Schizosaccharomyces pombe: one gene and its partners. Each later gene encodes a partner of the first gene's protein in a complex. Each region holds a gene or a part of one and is shown in the gene's direction. Other genes may lie near its edges. The genes, in order: mis14, mis12, mis13 and spc24.

Evidence for each region.
Region 2: mis14 (region 1) and mis12 share a complex: the UniProt entries of both Schizosaccharomyces pombe proteins name them as parts of the NMS super complex.
Region 3: mis14 (region 1) and mis13 share a complex: the UniProt entries of both Schizosaccharomyces pombe proteins name them as parts of the NMS super complex.
Region 4: mis14 (region 1) and spc24 share a complex: the UniProt entries of both Schizosaccharomyces pombe proteins name them as parts of the NMS super complex.

What each region holds. Positions count from the first base shown.
Region 1 is NC_003424.3:3,112,927-3,116,462, reverse strand, and holds mis14 (MIS12/MIND complex Mis14/Nsl1), read left to right. Parts: upstream 1-1,916; 5' UTR 1,917-2,050; coding exon 2,051-2,100; exon of another isoform or gene 2,101-2,186; coding exon 2,187-2,334; exon of another isoform or gene 2,335-2,463; coding exon 2,464-2,898; 3' UTR 2,899-3,011; downstream 3,012-3,536. Other genes in the region: glutathione S-transferase Gst3, read left to right, coding at 1-396; SPOM_SPAC688.03C (AMMECR1 family protein), read left to right, coding at 1,137-1,360, 1,490-1,847; cwh43 (glycosylceramide biosynthesis protein), read right to left, coding at 3,163-3,536. UniProt on the Schizosaccharomyces pombe protein: Acts as a component of the NMS (Ndc80-MIND-Spc7) super complex which has a role in kinetochore function during late meiotic prophase and throughout the mitotic cell cycle.
Region 2 is NC_003423.3:1,137,218-1,141,463, reverse strand, and holds mis12 (MIS12/MIND complex Mis12), read left to right. Parts: upstream 1-1,845; 5' UTR 1,846-1,936; coding exon 1,937-2,716; 3' UTR 2,717-2,933; coding exon of another isoform or gene 2,934-3,096; 3' UTR 3,097-3,261; coding exon of another isoform or gene 3,262-3,347; 3' UTR 3,348-3,399; coding exon of another isoform or gene 3,400-3,408; 3' UTR 3,409-3,711; downstream 3,712-4,246. Other genes in the region: SCF ubiquitin ligase complex subunit Skp1, read right to left, coding at 659-679, 725-1,092, 1,167-1,214, 1,268-1,316; protein Swi5, read right to left, coding at 2,934-3,096, 3,262-3,347, 3,400-3,408; NifU-like protein nfu1, read left to right, coding at 3,875-4,246. UniProt on the Schizosaccharomyces pombe protein: Acts as a component of the NMS (Ndc80-MIND-Spc7) super complex which has a role in kinetochore function during late meiotic prophase and throughout the mitotic cell cycle.
Region 3 is NC_003423.3:1,153,785-1,157,484, reverse strand, and holds mis13 (MIS12/MIND complex Mis13/Dsn1), read left to right. Parts: upstream 1-1,863; 5' UTR 1,864-1,883; coding exon 1,884-2,873; 3' UTR 2,874-3,181; downstream 3,182-3,700. Other genes in the region: ade7 (phosphoribosylaminoimidazolesuccinocarboxamide synthase), read right to left, coding at 1-367. UniProt on the Schizosaccharomyces pombe protein: Acts as a component of the NMS (Ndc80-MIND-Spc7) super complex which has a role in kinetochore function during late meiotic prophase and throughout the mitotic cell cycle.
Region 4 is NC_003423.3:2,753,844-2,759,888, forward strand, and holds spc24 (protein Spc24), read left to right. Parts: upstream 1-1,582; 5' UTR 1,583-1,661; coding exon 1,662-1,815; exon of another isoform or gene 1,816-1,862; coding exon 1,863-2,198; exon of another isoform or gene 2,199-2,328; coding exon 2,329-2,435; 3' UTR 2,436-2,461; coding exon of another isoform or gene 2,462-3,964; 3' UTR 3,965-4,028; coding exon of another isoform or gene 4,029-4,139; 3' UTR 4,140-4,917; coding exon of another isoform or gene 4,918-5,391; 3' UTR 5,392-5,545; downstream 5,546-6,045. Other genes in the region: transcription factor TFIIIC subunit Sfc3, read left to right, coding at 1-1,091; RNA polymerase I general transcription initiation factor subunit Rrn7, read right to left, coding at 2,462-3,964, 4,029-4,139; tif512 (putative translation elongation factor eIF5A), read right to left, coding at 4,918-5,391; GARP complex subunit Vps52, read left to right, coding at 5,796-6,045. UniProt on the Schizosaccharomyces pombe protein: Acts as a component of the NMS (Ndc80-MIND-Spc7) super complex which has a role in kinetochore function during late meiotic prophase and throughout the mitotic cell cycle.

The sequences.
Region 1 (3,536 bases):
GTTTTGGATCTTAGTGTGAACATGACTCCCATTTTCTTTCGTTATATTGTTCGCCAGTTTGTGAATGGGATAAAATCCAAGTATCTAAGTAAAGAAACATTTTTGAACCTTGACTACATTGATAATCACCTCGCATCGAACGAATACTTTGCAGGCGAACAGTTCACCGCTGCGGACCCGCAGATGTGCTTTCCTATATTTGCTGCTCAAAGAGATTACCTATCTCAGAAACCTTACAAAAATATTAAGCGTTGGATGCGGGTTGTCAGTGATAGGCCTGCATGTCGAATTGCTGCTGAAAAAGTTGAAGACAATACGTTGACTTTGTTTTCTGATGTGGAAAGGTACTCCCATCCCCCTACCCCTCCTCCCGAGCAAGTTCGCTCTGATGAATAAGATTTCTGCCGTGGCTCTTTTTTTCTTAAGCAAGTCGGCTTGAGACATACAAGGCTTCAGCAAGCTTACTTTTTTATTCTGCTTGTACGGAACTTATGCTGTTAATGTAGATAATGATTTGTACAATAACTAGGATATTGTGGTAACTACATAAAAATTTTTGCGACACCCCTTTTGAAATGATTTTCCGATGCAAGAAACAAGGCTTCGGTGCTTAAACGCTTGGACTTTTCTCTCTTTATCTGTCTCCCTCTCTATACATATATATATATATTATATACGCGTATACATCTAGTTTTGTGAATGGGAACATGTTACTGTTATTTAGTCTGAAAAAGAAGTTATGGTTACAAATCTTGTTTTTGATTTAATGTTAATTTATATATGACTACTTTTGAATTCAATAAGTTTTGCTGCTGTTGCATGAATTGTTTAACTAGGTAGTGAAAACTTAGAAGAGTATTTATTTTGTAAAGAATGCTTTAGTGTACAGTTAAACAAGTTCTCCATTTTCTTTCACTTTATGACAGAAGACATAAACAGGGCCCTACTAACTAACTTTTTTTAACATGAAACATGAAACAGTATAATGAACTTGGACGTTATCGTAATCACTTACAACGTATGATTTGTTGGCCATCCTTAAACAAAGAAAGTTGGAATGATGTATGAATAAAATACCATGGCTTACAAATTGTACCGAAAGCGTCCGTAGGCAATTGCTACTACCACTAATATAAATGGACAAGAAAGAGTATTGTTATTATTGCTTTGAAGTAGTTGCTGCAACTTTAGAGCATCGAAAGGTCCGAGACAAGTGGAATGCAAAGAGTTGGACCCGTAGTATCCCTCTGTTCGTAAAGTTTGCATCTGGAAAAGGCCATGATAAACAACTACGAGGTTGCATTGGAACTTTCCGGGCACGTCCTTTAGTTACAAATTTAACATATTTCAGTAAACAAGCGTAAGTGTGTCTAAAAATGGTTCATAGTTCGTTGTAGGCGTCAATGATAAATCATAGACCTTCGTATGAAATTGCCGATGAAATTGAAAAGAAGAGTAACCGAATGCTAATACAACATTTTAAAAATAGTGCATTTTGTGATGAACGTTTTCGTCCTATCTCCTTGGGAGAATTGGCTCTTTTAGAGTGCCAGATAGACTTGTTAGTCGACTTTGAACCGATAGATGATCCATTAGATTGGGAAGTTGGCATACATGGCGTGTCTATTAAATTTACGGCAAATGGAATTCGTTATTCTTCGACTTATCTACCTTCTGTAGCGGCTGAACAACGTTGGGATCAAGAGGAAACCCTAGAAAGCTTGATACATAAAGCAGGCTACTATGGATCAATACGTTCTTTACAAATAACTGCTACTCGCTATAAGTCCTTGGAAATCGGGTGTACTTATGAAGAATATCTTCATAATTTGGAGCTTCTGGGATAACCTGATCTATATACAATGGTTCTTTTCTATCTATTTACATAGCGTAATTAAGCTATCGCTTAAGTTTTCAGCCAGTACTATCACATCCAAATTCTTTTCAGACTAATGATTTCTATCTCTCAGCTAAAAATTTAACTTTCTCTTAATATATTCTAATCTATTAATCATATATTCTTAAAGAAAAACATTTCTTTCTAGCATTCATGTCGTCTCACGGAGATGCTAGCGTTTTACCAAAAATTGCATTGGAAAGGTGTGTTTCATAATCCCATGTAGTTTAGAGCTTTTATTTATGCTTTTAATTTGAAATTAGAAAATCTGATTTTAACACTTTATAAGTATCAACGATTACAGTTACGTAAAATCGGTGTTTCGTCAAGCCATACAAGAAAAACTTGCTATTCATTTACCAGAACAAGCTTCACGGGAAGCTGGAATGGGTCGTGAAGACCAATTGCGAATTCGAGTCAAAGAAATGTTAAACGAGGTGAGTATACAGTACACGCTTCTAATCAGCCATAAAGTCGAAATTCCATAGCAGCTTCGATTAAAAAAAATATATATATATATAAAGTAAAATGAGAGACCTCTTCAATTACTAATGCTTAACATATAGCTGATTGAATCCACTTTCTCAATAATACAAGAAAACGTTACAATCAATGGCTTTGATGCAAATTCAGCCTTGCAAGATCCAAAAAATTCCGACCAAATTGAGCCATTTGATCTGGCTCTTCGTACTCGAGTCCAACAATTATTCAATGAAGTAGAAGATGCTCATGTCCTAGTGGCTCGATACCGAAAGTCTGTACCAGCACAATATGAAAAGGCATATGTTGATGCGATGGAGCAACAGACCGCATTTTTAAGAAACGTGAAAGATGACTATGTTTCTCTCCAAGATAAAGAAGTAGAAAACCCGGATGAACAAACTTCGACAACTGTGTTTAGAAAAGAGGACATCGACCGATACGAGCAGACTATTGCTAAAGTAGCATATTTAAAGAAAAATCTCCCTAGAGTAGTTGCCCGATTGGAAAAAACTCCTTAATCATTAATAATTTTAATATACGGGTAAACTAATATTAATTTAGTGCTATTTCATCTCAACTTATACTTCATTCCAACTGCTCACCAGAAACAAACCGGTTGATTCATAATGTACTAATCTTAACAAATCTTATTAATCAGTGCATAACTGCAGACAACATATTAAATAGTTTATCAAATTCGTATAATGCTTATATTGATTCTAATTATATCAGTCTTTTTCTTTTCAAAACCATGGAAATTTAAATGAATCAAATTTGTGATTTTAATCATAGTACCACGGCTCGTGAACAACTAAATTATTGTCATAGTAATGTCCATTAACACCCGTTCCTTCAAATAATGATGGATACCTGTGTGATTCAGGAACGTGTTCCTTGTCGATTCTGACGTTCCTACCTAAATCTTTGGTAACCAAAAACTTTCCGGTTTGAAGCTCGGTGTCTGTTATAGTAGAGCGATGAAGTCTAGCATAACCAATTCGCTTGACACCTCGATAAAATATATACTGACACCAACGATCATAGTCAGCAGGTTCAATGTCTAACATTCCCGTGTCTCGCGTTAGAATAGTTTGGGGTTCTTGGCCAACGTTTGAAACAACATATCCGAGAAACACTAGAGGCCTTGGACTCTCGC
Region 2 (4,246 bases), on another chromosome or scaffold:
AAATTCACGCAATCATTAATTGTTAATTTGGAAGCTTGATATTATTACGATTCGCATTTTACATAGCTGCTGTCACTATTTTTAAGAAAAGAATCGGATTTTTTTAACAATTCATTGTTTAGCGCTATTATATTACAACACTTCTTTTTTTTTTTTTTTGTTATAGTAAACCGCTAATGCAAACTACATAGGACTATTAGCTCCAATCGTTCACCATATTGAATGGAAGAGTAAAGATAATCTTATTGATGAACATCCCTATTTTGTAACAAGACAAAAGCAAGCTTTAAGCAATTCGGGATAGTAAGTTCAACTTTCTAAATCGTAATTCACATACGTACTTAAAACAACAGTAAAAGATAACGAAATGTGCTTTGTTGGGATAAAATATGTTCATCAATGTACATTTGTATATATGCGATAATGAAATTGATTTGCTGCGACTTAATACGACCAGTGTTGGTACGTCAAGTATCAAGTGATCGCACGCATCGTGAAAACTTCAGTAGTAAAAAATCATCAGTATACTTTATATCAATTTTTTTTTTATAAAAAAAAAAAGGCGCATGATGAGGTGGATGGGAAGATTCCCATTTTACACTGAAAACTACACTTAATGATCCAAGGACAAAAAACTTTATACACAAAAAGCCACAAACTATCTGTCTTCGGCCCATTCCTGCAAGCGGTTAGAATTAAGTTAATAAAGTACCAAGGAACGTACATTTTCTTTACGGATTTGCTCTTCCTCCTCAGGCGTAAAATCATTAGGGATGTTAAATGTTTTCCGAATGTCCTCAGGACTCTTGCCACGAATCATGTTGGCAACGGTTTTACAACCAGTATCAAGCAAAGGTTTAATATCCAAATAATTGCTTGCCAAAACTATCTCGAACAACATTTCCTGGTCTACGGCCATAAACTTACGATCCCATTCATCAATATCGGTAGACTTTTTTAATCTAATGTCACTTTCCTCCTCAGTTCCTGAATACAAATCGTTTTTGTGATGCTCACACCATTCGAGTACCTTTCGCAAAACGTTCGATGATACGTTTGGAAGAGGAATGGGGACATTAATCTCACCAACGTCTATTGAAATTGAGATTTTAGTAACAGGGTCCATAATAATTATTGCACTCAACAAGCGCTTGTATAGATCATACCTTCAAGCATATTTTTTATAAGCATACTTCTCTCAGCGATCAGTTGATCTATAAACAGTTTGTCAATTCACTCAATTCAAAACATTCTCCGTTCTACATACCGACCACGAACTCTTCATTGTCAGATGAAATCAGTTTGATTTTGGACATTGTTGATGTATGTAAGTAATGGATGAATGAAAGTTAAGCTGTTAGCATTTCTAGTTATGCTGATATTCCTACAGTGGCAGAACTCACTAATTCGATATTGGGAAAAGGTGCTAACCCTCATTAAATCAAATTGCATAGCAGAACGATCCCACCGTGATAGCTAAAAAAGGCTACTGAAGAATAATAAAAGAAAGCATAGAAATTGAGGTTTAAGATGAGTCCGTACTATTAATGTATAATTCGAATATAGTTAATATTAGTGTATTCCTCCACTAGAGCTTAGTTGAGGATATAGAAACTCTAGTAATGATTTACCAAGCACAAATCAAAAGCCACACTTCTAAGCAACTAACAAAATAAACCGACTAAACTGTTAATCGCCTGAGTTATATGTTCCTCACAGCAATAAAAACAGCAACAAATCTATGTATTATTCATACTTTTTGATGGGATATACGGAAATCCCTTTTACCTCGTTATTATCATATCTGAGTACACCAGACAAAATGCAACATGGGGTTGGTACATTGCAGAACAACTTGCCGTTTAAAAATCATAACTCACTAGTTTCCTCTTTGGAAGCTAATCAGTGTTTTCAATGTAAAGGAATTAATTAAAAAATGTTAGTGGAGTTACTAGAATTCACTCCTCTCTCCTTCATTGATGATGTGATCAACATTACGAACCAACTGTTATATAAAGGTGTAAATGGTGTGGATAAAGCCTTTTCACAAACGCGGTTTGCTAAAAAAGCGCCACAGGAAATAGAAGAAGGACTACACAAGTTCGAGGTTCTCTTTGAAAGTGTGGTGGATCGTTACTATGATGGTTTCGAGGTGTATACACTTCGAAACATTTTTAGTTATCCACCAGAGCTAAAAGGCTACATGCGTACGTTTGGAAAGGATGTAGACTATTCAATCACAACAGAGCAAGACGCCGCCATGGATCAAGCAATTCAAGAGGCTGCAGAAAAACTCGTAGTAAAGATGCAACTACGTCGTGACCTTCGCATGCGTCTCAGCAGGAAAAGAGAAAAAAAAACAGAAATAGAAAAGCATTTGGAAAGAATTTCTTTTCTCAACAAAGTACCCGAAAATTGGCAAGTTACTTTACCAGAAACTACCGATTTCCTTCTTGATCAACTTGGTAATCTGCAGCATGCCGTTAAAAGAGTAGTTGAAGCCTCTCCCACTGTACACTCACGAGAGGTGGATGAAAGAATTACCTACTTAGAAAAAGGTTACGAACGATTATCTAATCCCATCGACCAGCAAAAGGATTTTTGGTCACATCACTTGTCAAAACTAGAATCGACAGCCAATACTGAAACTGCAAATAACATTCATAAGTTGCTATTGTCATCTGAAAAAGACGTCGGACATACTGACGAGCCTTAATACTAATCAACTAGCTAAAGTCTTGAGATGTTCTAACAATTGTGATCGTTTACGTAAACTTTCATAATAAATATATAAGAATTGGCGTTGGATCTCTAGCGAAAGCAAAGTAATGCTTAATAAAGAAAACTTGGATTGTCTCTGTCACTTTTTCCGTTACATTTTTATTTGTTTTGTTTAACTTCTCTTTTTTCCTAAATAACTGAATGGATAATAATTATTCTGACCCATTAACTCCAAATCTGTCAAACAATTCGACACTTGTACATTTTTCATGCTCTGCCACTTTGCCAATCATTCCCAAAGCAATATCCCGTATTTCATTATAGGTATGGAGTAGATCGATATGTTTTTGTACAGTTTGCTTAGCATCTCGATTTCTAAATCATTTGTCAACATTAGATAAAACGAGACAAGCTTGATGATGACTTGAATAGATTTGATGGAACGGCAATACATTGCTTTTCCCAAAATGAACCTGAACGCGCGTAAAGGCGCATAACTCATATTTTCTACCATTTCTAGCATCACTTTACCACACTTACTTTAGCTTAGCTAAAGCGTCTTGTAAACTACTTTCCAATTGCTCCTTCTGCTGTTCAAGCAAATGGACGCGTGACTCAAGTTGAGACTGCAGTAATTCATCAGTATTTTGTGAATGAACAATGGTACCGTTGGCTTACCTTTTCCATACGATTTAAACAGTTCTTTCTTAATGAAGCAATGATGTGTGAAATTTACTAGGAAGGTATCTGTTTTTGAACACCTAGTAGAAATTAAGTTGTTGAGGAAGGCAGGAGCCTACCGATTTGTTCAATTGAAAACAATGTCTATTGTTCTTGTAAGAGAGAATTTAGATTAGTGATGAAAGACAAGTAAATTGTTGAATCACGAACAATGGCTTATTTCAATATAATGAACTTCGCTAATTTGTATAAGAAAGTATAAGGATCACATCGGTTTTCGTATGCCCATGTACAAATTGCCTTCTTGCATGTATTTAAAGAATTGCTTACATTAGCATTTCCTGATTTAAAAATTGTTAATAAACATTTAAATTTTCCCATCTGTTTGAAGTGTATACTTAAGAAGTTTCAAATTCTGAACTTGTCTTAATATTTTGTCTCTTATTGGATAAAGCACGATTTGATTCCAAGCATGTTATTTCCTAGAGTTGTGCCGTTTCAATCTTTAAGGACAGCATTCCAAAAGAAAACCTTTTTACCAGTATCTTCAGCTGGTAACGTTTTCACTCCACGTTTCCAATTGCAAGCAATTCGCAGCATATGGATCCGATCGGAGGAGACACCGAACGAAAACGCTTTGAAGTTCCTGCCAGGGCTAGATATCTTGCCTCCAACTATCGGAAGCTGTGAATTCATGAGAGGACAAGGAACTGTGAATTCTCCATTGGCACAGAAACTATTTGATATAGATGGAGTTGATAGCATTTTTTTTGGAAAGGACTTTATTACTGTTTCCAAGGGAGCAGGAACTGAATGGGCTCAAATGAAGCCAGAAGTGTTTAGT
Region 3 (3,700 bases), on another chromosome or scaffold:
CACTTCCAGTGATATAGCCACGAACAATAGCTTCGATAGGAAGAATCTTGTATTTCTTAACGAGCATGGATCTATCCTTTAACTCTTCATGCTTCGTGATAACAGGAGGTAATTCTTCCCACCTAGAAGTAATCAAATGAGTTTGGACATGAGGTTTTAAAACATCAAACCAAAATTCTGAAATTTTTGTCAAAACCTTTCCCTTCTCAGGGATGCCGTTCTCCATGATAAAATCATAGGCGCTTATTCTGTCTGTTGCTACGAACAAAAGATCATCGGGAAATTCTACACACTCATACAGGTCTCTGACTTTGCCGGTAGCAATTTTAGTGAATGGAGCATCCAACGAAGTTTTTAATAATGCCATTTGAAATGAACTTGATGTAGAAATGAAGGTTTAAACTATTCCACTTGAAGACAATTAGCTTTTGGTATAAAAATAACAAAGTATTTAAAGAAAATCCGTGTGATCTCTTTTCATTTCGTTTTAATATGCTTCTTCTGTATGAGGTCTATATAGTATAACATAGAACATCGATTAAAAATTTCAGAGAAACAAAAGCAATTACAATTATCAAAAAGGATACTATTACATAACATACCACTTAGAATTGGCTCCAAAAAACCCTGGTTTCAATGAATCCAGTTAACTCTAACTTTCGATGTAGTAGAAAGGAAAGATACAAGAGAGATGAGACAGATCGTCGTAGATCTTGGCAATACACTGAGACAGATTAAGAACAGATAATCAGTAAAGATTCTTTTCAATTATAAAGAATTTAAAAATTCCGAAATAAATTCGTATTTGAGGATGATGGCAACCTAAGTAAGTGCTCGAAAAGTAAGTTGTACAGGACATGCTGTGGTTATAAATTCCATGTTTAATTAAAATAAATAAAACAAATAAATTAATAATTATAATAAGAAAACTATTACTTCACTTAAGTTAAAAAGAGCTTTAAACACCGACTACTGTTGCCTTTTTGACTGCAGAATATTTTGAAACAACTTTATATAGGAAGTGTTTTAAGAGTAGGATAATTCAAACTTTTAATTCTTAAAACTATACTGGATCCTTAAAGTTCTGGCTTGTCTGCAAAGCCATGTAATCTAAAATTGGGTACTTTCTGTAAATAATATGCAGCGATTTAAAATCAACAATAACCAGCTAAGTCTGAAAATTACTACAATTTAGATTTTGTACATATAGAATACTCGAATATTTTTCATTATACTTATATTTGATTATTCATCTTATTTATCGTCGCTATATTTTTCAACAATTATGATAAAGTACAAGCTCAATCCTGGCAGCTCATGGACATCTTGACTATTTGTCAAAAACTGTAAACAGTTTTAATGGTAATAATATCCACATTTTGTAATTTGCATAACTTTTCAGCTTAGCATTTCATGTCGCATTCCTCAATTATATATATATATATATATATATATTACATAAACAGTAAACTTGATATAGTATAAGAAGAGGTCTTATGAATTTATAAGGGGAATTAACCAACCATTCAATGGATTATGTTAAAATTATTATTCTTATTATTTTACAGCAGAAAAAAGGATATATATTTTTGTTTTTGCAAGTTCGAAGATAATCTAGCAATTAAACAAATATTTTATACCAAGTTGTAACAAGTGTATCTCCAAAAAGAAAGGAATACTTAACAGTAAAAAAGAATTTAATCATTATTTATTTTTTTATTTATTCTCTACATGAATATACTTTGCTTTGATGAATTTTCAATGCTCAATTGTAAGGCCGACTTATAACGCGCTCGCTATACTTTGTTAGGTTACCTAGTGTAAACAATGAGTAAGGTAGTCTTTGCAATCCTGACTCGACTTGACCCTAACCAGCATCCATTATGAAACGAAAGCCTGAAGAGCAGGAAGGATTTGTATTCGTTAGGAAGGGTAAAGAAAAAGCTGGTTCTAAAAGAAGGAAATCATCTGTGGAGGATGATCCAGATACCTCCCAAACCGATGGGTTAGTTGAGCTACCCGTGTCTGATACACCAATTGTGAAGCGAAACAAAGAACTTCGCAAGGGTAAAGGAAGAAGGAGTAGTCTTGACCAACGGGGTAAGCGTGCTAGTAGCATTGGTACTGGATTTGAAGCTTTACCACATGCAGATGTTCCATCGCATGAATACTATCGCCATATATCCAAAGACTTATCCGAACCTTTACGTATCAAACAACTTCTCCTTTGGGCTTCTTCAAAGGCCTTAGAAGAGCAAAGAAAAAAATACGGTGAAACGGAGGAAGCCAGTGAGGCAGCTATTGCTAGATCAATAGTTCAAGAAGTTCTTAACGAATTATTGGCTAATAAAGTTAGTGTTAGTTGGTATCAAAGACCACCTGATGCTGTAATTCCTAATAAACCTCATCCTCAAAATCTCAAAAATGCTCAGCTAGTGGACGAACTGTCGGCAAAGCTTACCCAACTCCATAATGAAGAAGCTGCATGGCGGGCTGTTGCTGCTAATTCCGTCAGTTCAGATAAATCAATTTTATCTTTTAAAAAAGCTGTAGAATCCATAGATTCTAAACAAGACCTTGATAAACAGGACTCTCCATTACCCCCAGATGATGCACCAGAACTTCCTAATATAAGTAAGCTGAAACCAAAATTCCACACTCTCCTGGACATGCTTGCTGAAAATATTCATACCTTGCATTCTTTGACTAACGCTGGACCTGAAGTCCGATCATCATATGGTCGCCTTGCTGCCCAGGATTTCATAGCCCATCGTAAAAGTTTGTTGTCCTTCTCCAAATATGTGGATACTATGAATTTATTAAGGCTTTTATCAGAAGCTTCCTATAAATCTTCCTCAAACGAATCAGTTTAAAATTGGATTAATCTGATACTGTTATGCCCAAATTTTTACTTATTTTTACGTTAATTTTATGTCTTTTTGCGTGCCATTGCTGCTAATTAACTAATAATGAAGGTGTGCAAACCAGCTGGACTGTGTTTGAAAATTCATGTTATACGTTATTTCAAAGGAACTCCTATAGTAGTAGCGCGCACTCACATTACTATCTACACTCAATGTACGATACATAACTGCTACTATTCACCCAATATTTAGAATTTATCAAAGGTTTCATAGTTAATTAATTTGAAATATTTGAGAAATAAATAGCTTTATCTCTAAAGTCTATATTCTATAATTAAATTTTAAAAAGCGAGAGCAGACATCGTCGCAGGTTTCGAAACATGTAACGTGTAATTAACAATAGCTTTATGATAACCAGAATACACGTGGTAAATTCCGTCATAATAGTAACGTAAAACTTTCAAACACAAAACCGCATACATGAAATTAAAAAAAAACCACGATTTCTATGAAGCTTGGACATTATTTAAATATTAAGGCAGCTTCTCAAACGCAACGGTGCACCAATATTGGAGACAAATTCAAGAAATCCCAAACCCAAACTGAAACTGTGGGGACATGAGCTAAAGAATTTTAAAAAATTTTAGCAATGGATAGGTGGAAGCATGCTTAAGGAACATATCTAAGTTCACTTATGGAATGATCCCTGAGGCGAAAAAAGCAAAGCAGCAAATTCTGACCGCTTTACGAAGCCAAGATTGTTGGCATATCTTTTAAAAAAGTGGGATAGCCAACTGAAATAATAGAGGCTTTAAATTCCTTGCATGTACACAACG
Region 4 (6,045 bases), on another chromosome or scaffold:
CTGTTGATGATTTTGATCCTACCCCATATGTTAAGGCGTCTTGTAGACCTTATATGATTAGTTCTTCAAATCTTGCTACTACTAGGTTACCGAGAGACCTCGTTGACGTTTATGAAACTTACAATATAGAGGTTGTTAAACAAGAAACTAATTTCCGGGAAATGATATTTGATCCTTCCCTGTCAGTTGCCTCGAAAATGAATGCGTATTGTGATATGCCTTTTACCATGCCGCTTTCCTTAAATGACAAACAAAATAATGAAGGGGATGAGAATTGTGAGAAAGGTCAGTTGTTTGATGCGAAGTCTACTATCAAGAGCATCGTTGCCATCCCAGACGCTACATATGATGCTCGGTTTTCGCAAGAACGTCTTATGCAGTATCCAGAAGATATTCTCATCGCTGCTCATCAAGAATTATTGGATAAGAGAATAATTACTAGAGTTAATTCAGAAAACAGTAGATTGCAGCCTGGTCGAAACTTCCAGTTTACGGAGAAATTTGCAAGTTCCCTCAAGTCTCCTTTACCTCCATTTTTATTGTCACAAGCCAAGCGATTTAATAAATTTTTATTGGAGGGTTTTCAAAATCATAAGAATCATTTATTTGAAGAAACATCTAACAGTGGAACTCTCGCATGTATCCTTGATTTATTATCTCAAGGAAAGTTGCAAATATCTATAGTCGGAAGCAAGTTTAATGAGTATGGTCTATCTGAAGGCTATCGTACTCGTTTGCTAGAACATGACAATATCAATGTAACTCTTGTTCTCAGCGGCAAAGAAAGTGAATCTAAAAAAAATTATGGTGTTACTGAAAAGTTGGCAACTCCACCTTCGCATGAGCCACGGCTATGGTTAAATGGTAAATGCGAGCTTATTGAGATGATATGGATGAATATCGAGCAGTCCATTGTATACCAACTGCTTCGAAAACCCGGAATCTTGAGATCCCAACTGACTAACTTACTATTTCCCGGATTAGAACCCCGTGAGTTTAACGAAGTACTTGATTACTTTATAGCAGCAGGTGCCGCTATTGAAAAGGATGGCTTATATCTAAACCATAATTATCTCTTTAAATTAACTTAGCCTTTTAAATGTCACCATGATGAGATGATGCAAGCTGAGTATTTTCTTTCAATAGGCTTGTCGATTTGGAACATTTATATTACAAGCAACGATTTAATGTTTATTTGTACAGTATTTAGGATTCATTTTTAAATTATCTAAAAGATACCACGCTGTGTCTGCTTCTAATCTATAATTAATTATATTAGCGTGTTTTGAATTAATCTGATTTCGCGTTTTCTTCCATCTAAACTTTATATCGTATAAAAATCAAAAAGGTTTCATCGACTGTTTTGCTGAAAAGGTGAAGAAAACTTGAATCGAGGTTATCTCTTTTCTTTCTGTTTTATGTACATAACTTTAGCTCCTATAGAAAAAAGAAAAAACCTGCATCATGTAGATTTGTTTAACTAATTTACGTATGCATATATATATATATATATATATATTAGTAGAGTAAGGTTGATTTTCTAACCATACTTTATTTACGGTAGCATCATTCGTACCTTTTCGTACGTTACGACCACGTTGAAAGTTTTCAAAGAAATTACTTTTTAAACACAAAAGAACATAAATAAAAGAGAAGTAAATATGTCAGACAGTCCAATTGAACTTATGCGGTCCACGCTTGCTGGTTTTCAAATTGCACCAGATGTGAAAACCATCTCAAACATTCAAGACATTCGCGCACAGATACAGAGCTTCAGAGAAAAAGAATTGGAAGGATCTCAAACCAAATTTAAAGGTTAGTTTTAATCTAGAAATAAACGACCATGCATTAACTGTGAATAGTGCTTTCAAGAAAATTAGAAATATCTACCCAGGCTATGGAGTCATTAAAACAAACAGCAGAGTCATCACAACACGCTGAGGAGATTTTAAGCAGGGAAAAGGAGAAATTTAGGATAGCCAAGTTGTTGAATATCACTGAGAACGAAATTATGAGTTTAGAATCTCAATTGCAGAAAATGAAGGAACAGCTACTACAACTTGAGGAACGCGAAAATACTTCTGAAGACATATGTCAGTCAGAGGAAAATGCGAATATGTTAAAGCTGAACTTTTATCATTCTTTAGGCTTCGATTTAGAAACTGCTGAGAACACTGGGAATAAAAGGGTTATAATACGTATGTCATTTGCTCATAATTTGAATTTACCTTTCAATTTTTTATCTTTAAAAAGCTTGATGATATGAAAAATTCAAGCTTTAAAATTGAACTTTAAAACTGTTTTTCGAATCTACTCACACTTTCCTAGATACCGAAAACGATTTGCAAACGGTACAAATCAGCAACAAGTATAGCCCATATTTTTATTCTAATTATTTTTGGGATTTGCTTGATGATAGTAAGGACAAAAAATAGATGGCACTATTATTTTATTTATTTATTTAATCTTGATTGTGTATACCGGTTTTTAAACATGACTCAACATAACGAATGGCCGCTATAAGAGAATCCAATTTGATATTATACAATTTGGCTACCATGATAGTAACCCGATGAGCTGTATTTTCTGTATTAGGTGAAAAAGGAAGCATTGATATATAAGCATCCTTTCGTCGTGAAAAGTCCATTTTATCAGACTCTTTAATGCCTACAGGTTTGAACACTTGTTCTAACTTTACATCTTCAGCAATGACGGATTCGTCGGTGAGTATATCTGTAGGTTGATTTTCTTGTAAATGGCTGTCTTTCGAAAGAATCGGAAATACGTTAAGAATTCCTTCTGGAATATTATTTGGGTTGTTTTCTTCGACAAACTCTTTTTCATACCATTGAAAATATTTATCCATTTCAGAGTTATTGAGCGTCAAAATGGATTGCTCGTCTATCTCGTAGAACTTGTCTTTTTCTTTCTCATTAATTTTTTGCACTTGGGATAACCACATGTTCCAGTTGGTTTTAACAGTGAACATCGAGTCTTTGTATTTGGAATTTCGAGTTTGGGCATCATCAAACCCATAACATACATTTGCTGCTACTAAGATGGTAGCGAGTAACATAACCTCCGCATCAGATAACTTTTCATGTATCGATTGAGCACTGCGTATTTTGCTTTGATAATTATCGCTAGAGGTACCTTGAAGTGAAATCTGCGAGTGAACGAGATTTAGTAAACGAGAAGCAGGTATGAAGATTTCTAAGGGAAAAAAGAAACTGTTAATAAGCTCAAAAAGTATCAATGGCTCATTAGGTGGAGGAACTTTTAGTTCGTATTTAGATACTAAAACGTCAACCAATGTCAAGACAGCGGATTGTATGCGTTGATACGTTGGATAATGAAAAGGAATTAGCATCCTTACATAGTTTTTTTGAAGCCTTTTAAATATTTTTAGAGGTATCTGTTTATACGCTCTATAATATGGAATAATATTTTTCCTTATTAAAACTTCGAGTTTATGAATGGTCAGAGGCAGTCTTAGTAAAAGACAGGCGACATAAATAAAGGCAGAAGAGTATAAAAGCCGAGGATAAGATATAGAATGCGACTGAGAAGTTTCCTTCGTTTTTCTTGAGCTCGGATCAGCTCCCGGTTGACTCTCAGGATCTATGAGATCAAAATCCGAATCTGATGATTCTGATTGCGTTGAATTTTGGTTGAGGGAAAGAAAACTAGAAGTAAATGATTCATAAGACAGGGAAAGGTAAAGCGCCCAAAGGTCACGTATCATGCCTTCTATTCTTTGGTCAAATCCGAGTTTCGTAGTTAACGCTTGACATTGAAGTTGAAGAATAATTTGAAAAGCCTGAAGATATAAGCTTCTACCAGCGGTACCATAAACAATCTCATCTTCATCTCCAGTGTCTAGATGGTTGCGAACAACCTTTCTTTTACGAGTTTGATAAAAAGTCCCTGCACCAGGTTCATCATCTTGAGCGATTTCAATTCCCTAAAATTTAACAATTTTATTAATGAACATTCATTAAAGCGCAAACCTATTAAAAACAACTTACATGTTGAGCATGACCACGACGACAAAATGTTTGACCTGCATTTTTAAAATACCAAGTACTTTTGCAGTTTCTTACAGAACAAGGCGGACCTTCAAACCAATTGCCTTCCATTGTAAAGGAACTGGATATGCAAATAGATGCAGACTTATTTAAAAGTACAAACAGTGAACTATAGACGAAGAAAAATAAGAGAACAAAACACTTAAAGGGTATTCAAGTAGGTAAGCATTTGTAAAAAGATCTGCACAGTTTCTAACGGTGTTGTTATTTATAAACTGCTATGCCAGCATTTTACCAATATTTTGGAAAGTATGAATCGACTGAAAAAACCTAACAGATTTTCTTTCAGCTGCGAAATACCGTTTATATAGTTTTGGATAAATCCTTCACAAATGTATCACAGTAGACTGTTAGTCAGTCAGTAGCGATAGGCAGTTTTTGAGATCTAACGGGCGCCACGTTAATACATATGAGTTGTAACGGCTTGGTAGATAGTGCATACATTGATTAACTATTGTGAAAAGCCATTATATAAAAACTGCAAGTCCACTCTAGATTATATATTACCTCGGGTATCCAACCTTGAGACATAAAGGTTGAAACTAGGATAAAAATTGAGGAAAGTTAAAATAGGCTGAAGAAAAGGTGCTACTGATACATTTAAAAGAGAAAATAACAGCCATCAAGCAGTTTGATACATACCCGTAGTACGAATATATAACCATAATCTAATTTATCTTAAAACTATCAGATATATAAGAAGTCTTACGTTTACAGATTCCAAAGAACATTCTATTTACAAAAATCGTTAAACAAACAATGAATATGGTAAAGGAGGAGCAAAACTTGTTTACTAAACGACCATTTTTAAAGGGAAGAGGGTTTATATTTAGGCGCTGGGAGCATCACGGCAAGCGAGAGCAATCTCTTCACCCATGGCAGAGACAACGGTAATGATTAAATCCTTACCCTCTTCAAAGCCCTCTTCAATTTCGTTGCCGAGTTCGCCTTCGGGAAGACGAACATCGTCCTTGGTAGTACCATCGGTAGTCATGAGGTTCAAGTAGCCATCATCAATGTTGACTAGTTGGTATTCGTCACGCTTGACAACAGGAACGTCCATGTTATGAGTAGAGGGAGACATATCTTCGTACTTGCGACCATTGAAGATATCAAGGGCAACAATGTGGACCTTGGCATGTCCGTGCTTACCAGTCTTAGAGGTGGACATGTCGACGATCTTGCAAGGACGGCCCTTGATGACGACGTGTCCGTTCTTACGCAAAGCAGAGCATTGCATAGGGAAGGTCAAAGAGGCACCGGCCTCACCACCCTCGAAATCGACGTGTTCTTCTTCTGCCATTGTTGGTTTATGCTCTTTCTGTATGAACATGCCCATCACTTTCCCATTTGTTAAATGTGACTACTTTTTCCATGTGAGATTGCTTTAACCCTACCCTAAAGCAACCAAACTAAGTGCAGTGAAGTAAAACGTAATACATGTTATTTGAAGTATACCTTTGCAACGTTAAAATTCGTAAAGTAACTCATCATAATTATTTGACGTATCGTTAGATTACATTAAATTGTTCAGGCTTAACACTGATGGAAGCGCCGAAACCAGGGTGATAAACAACACCTAAATTAAACTTAACCCTCCTTAACTTACCAAACTAACTATTTGCAGGATTATACCTTCCATTTGTTCTGGGATGCAGCTGTCACGTTGAGATATAACATCTATAGGTACAGTATAATAAGTCCGGCATGCAGAGAGCTTCTACCCAGGATGTTTATGATGGAAGTGGTGATGATCTAAACAAACTTGATTCTCTCAAGTCAGTGTTGAATGATGTTCTGAGCTCTTTGGAGCGATTCCAGGTGGATCTGGATGTCGCTACTAGTGATATCTACAAAGTCAGTGAGCGCTCAAACAAAATTCAAGTAAATTTAAACAATTTGAAGGCAGTGGAGTCAGCACTTGGAGCAGAGATTGATGGTGCGATTCTTCCACCTG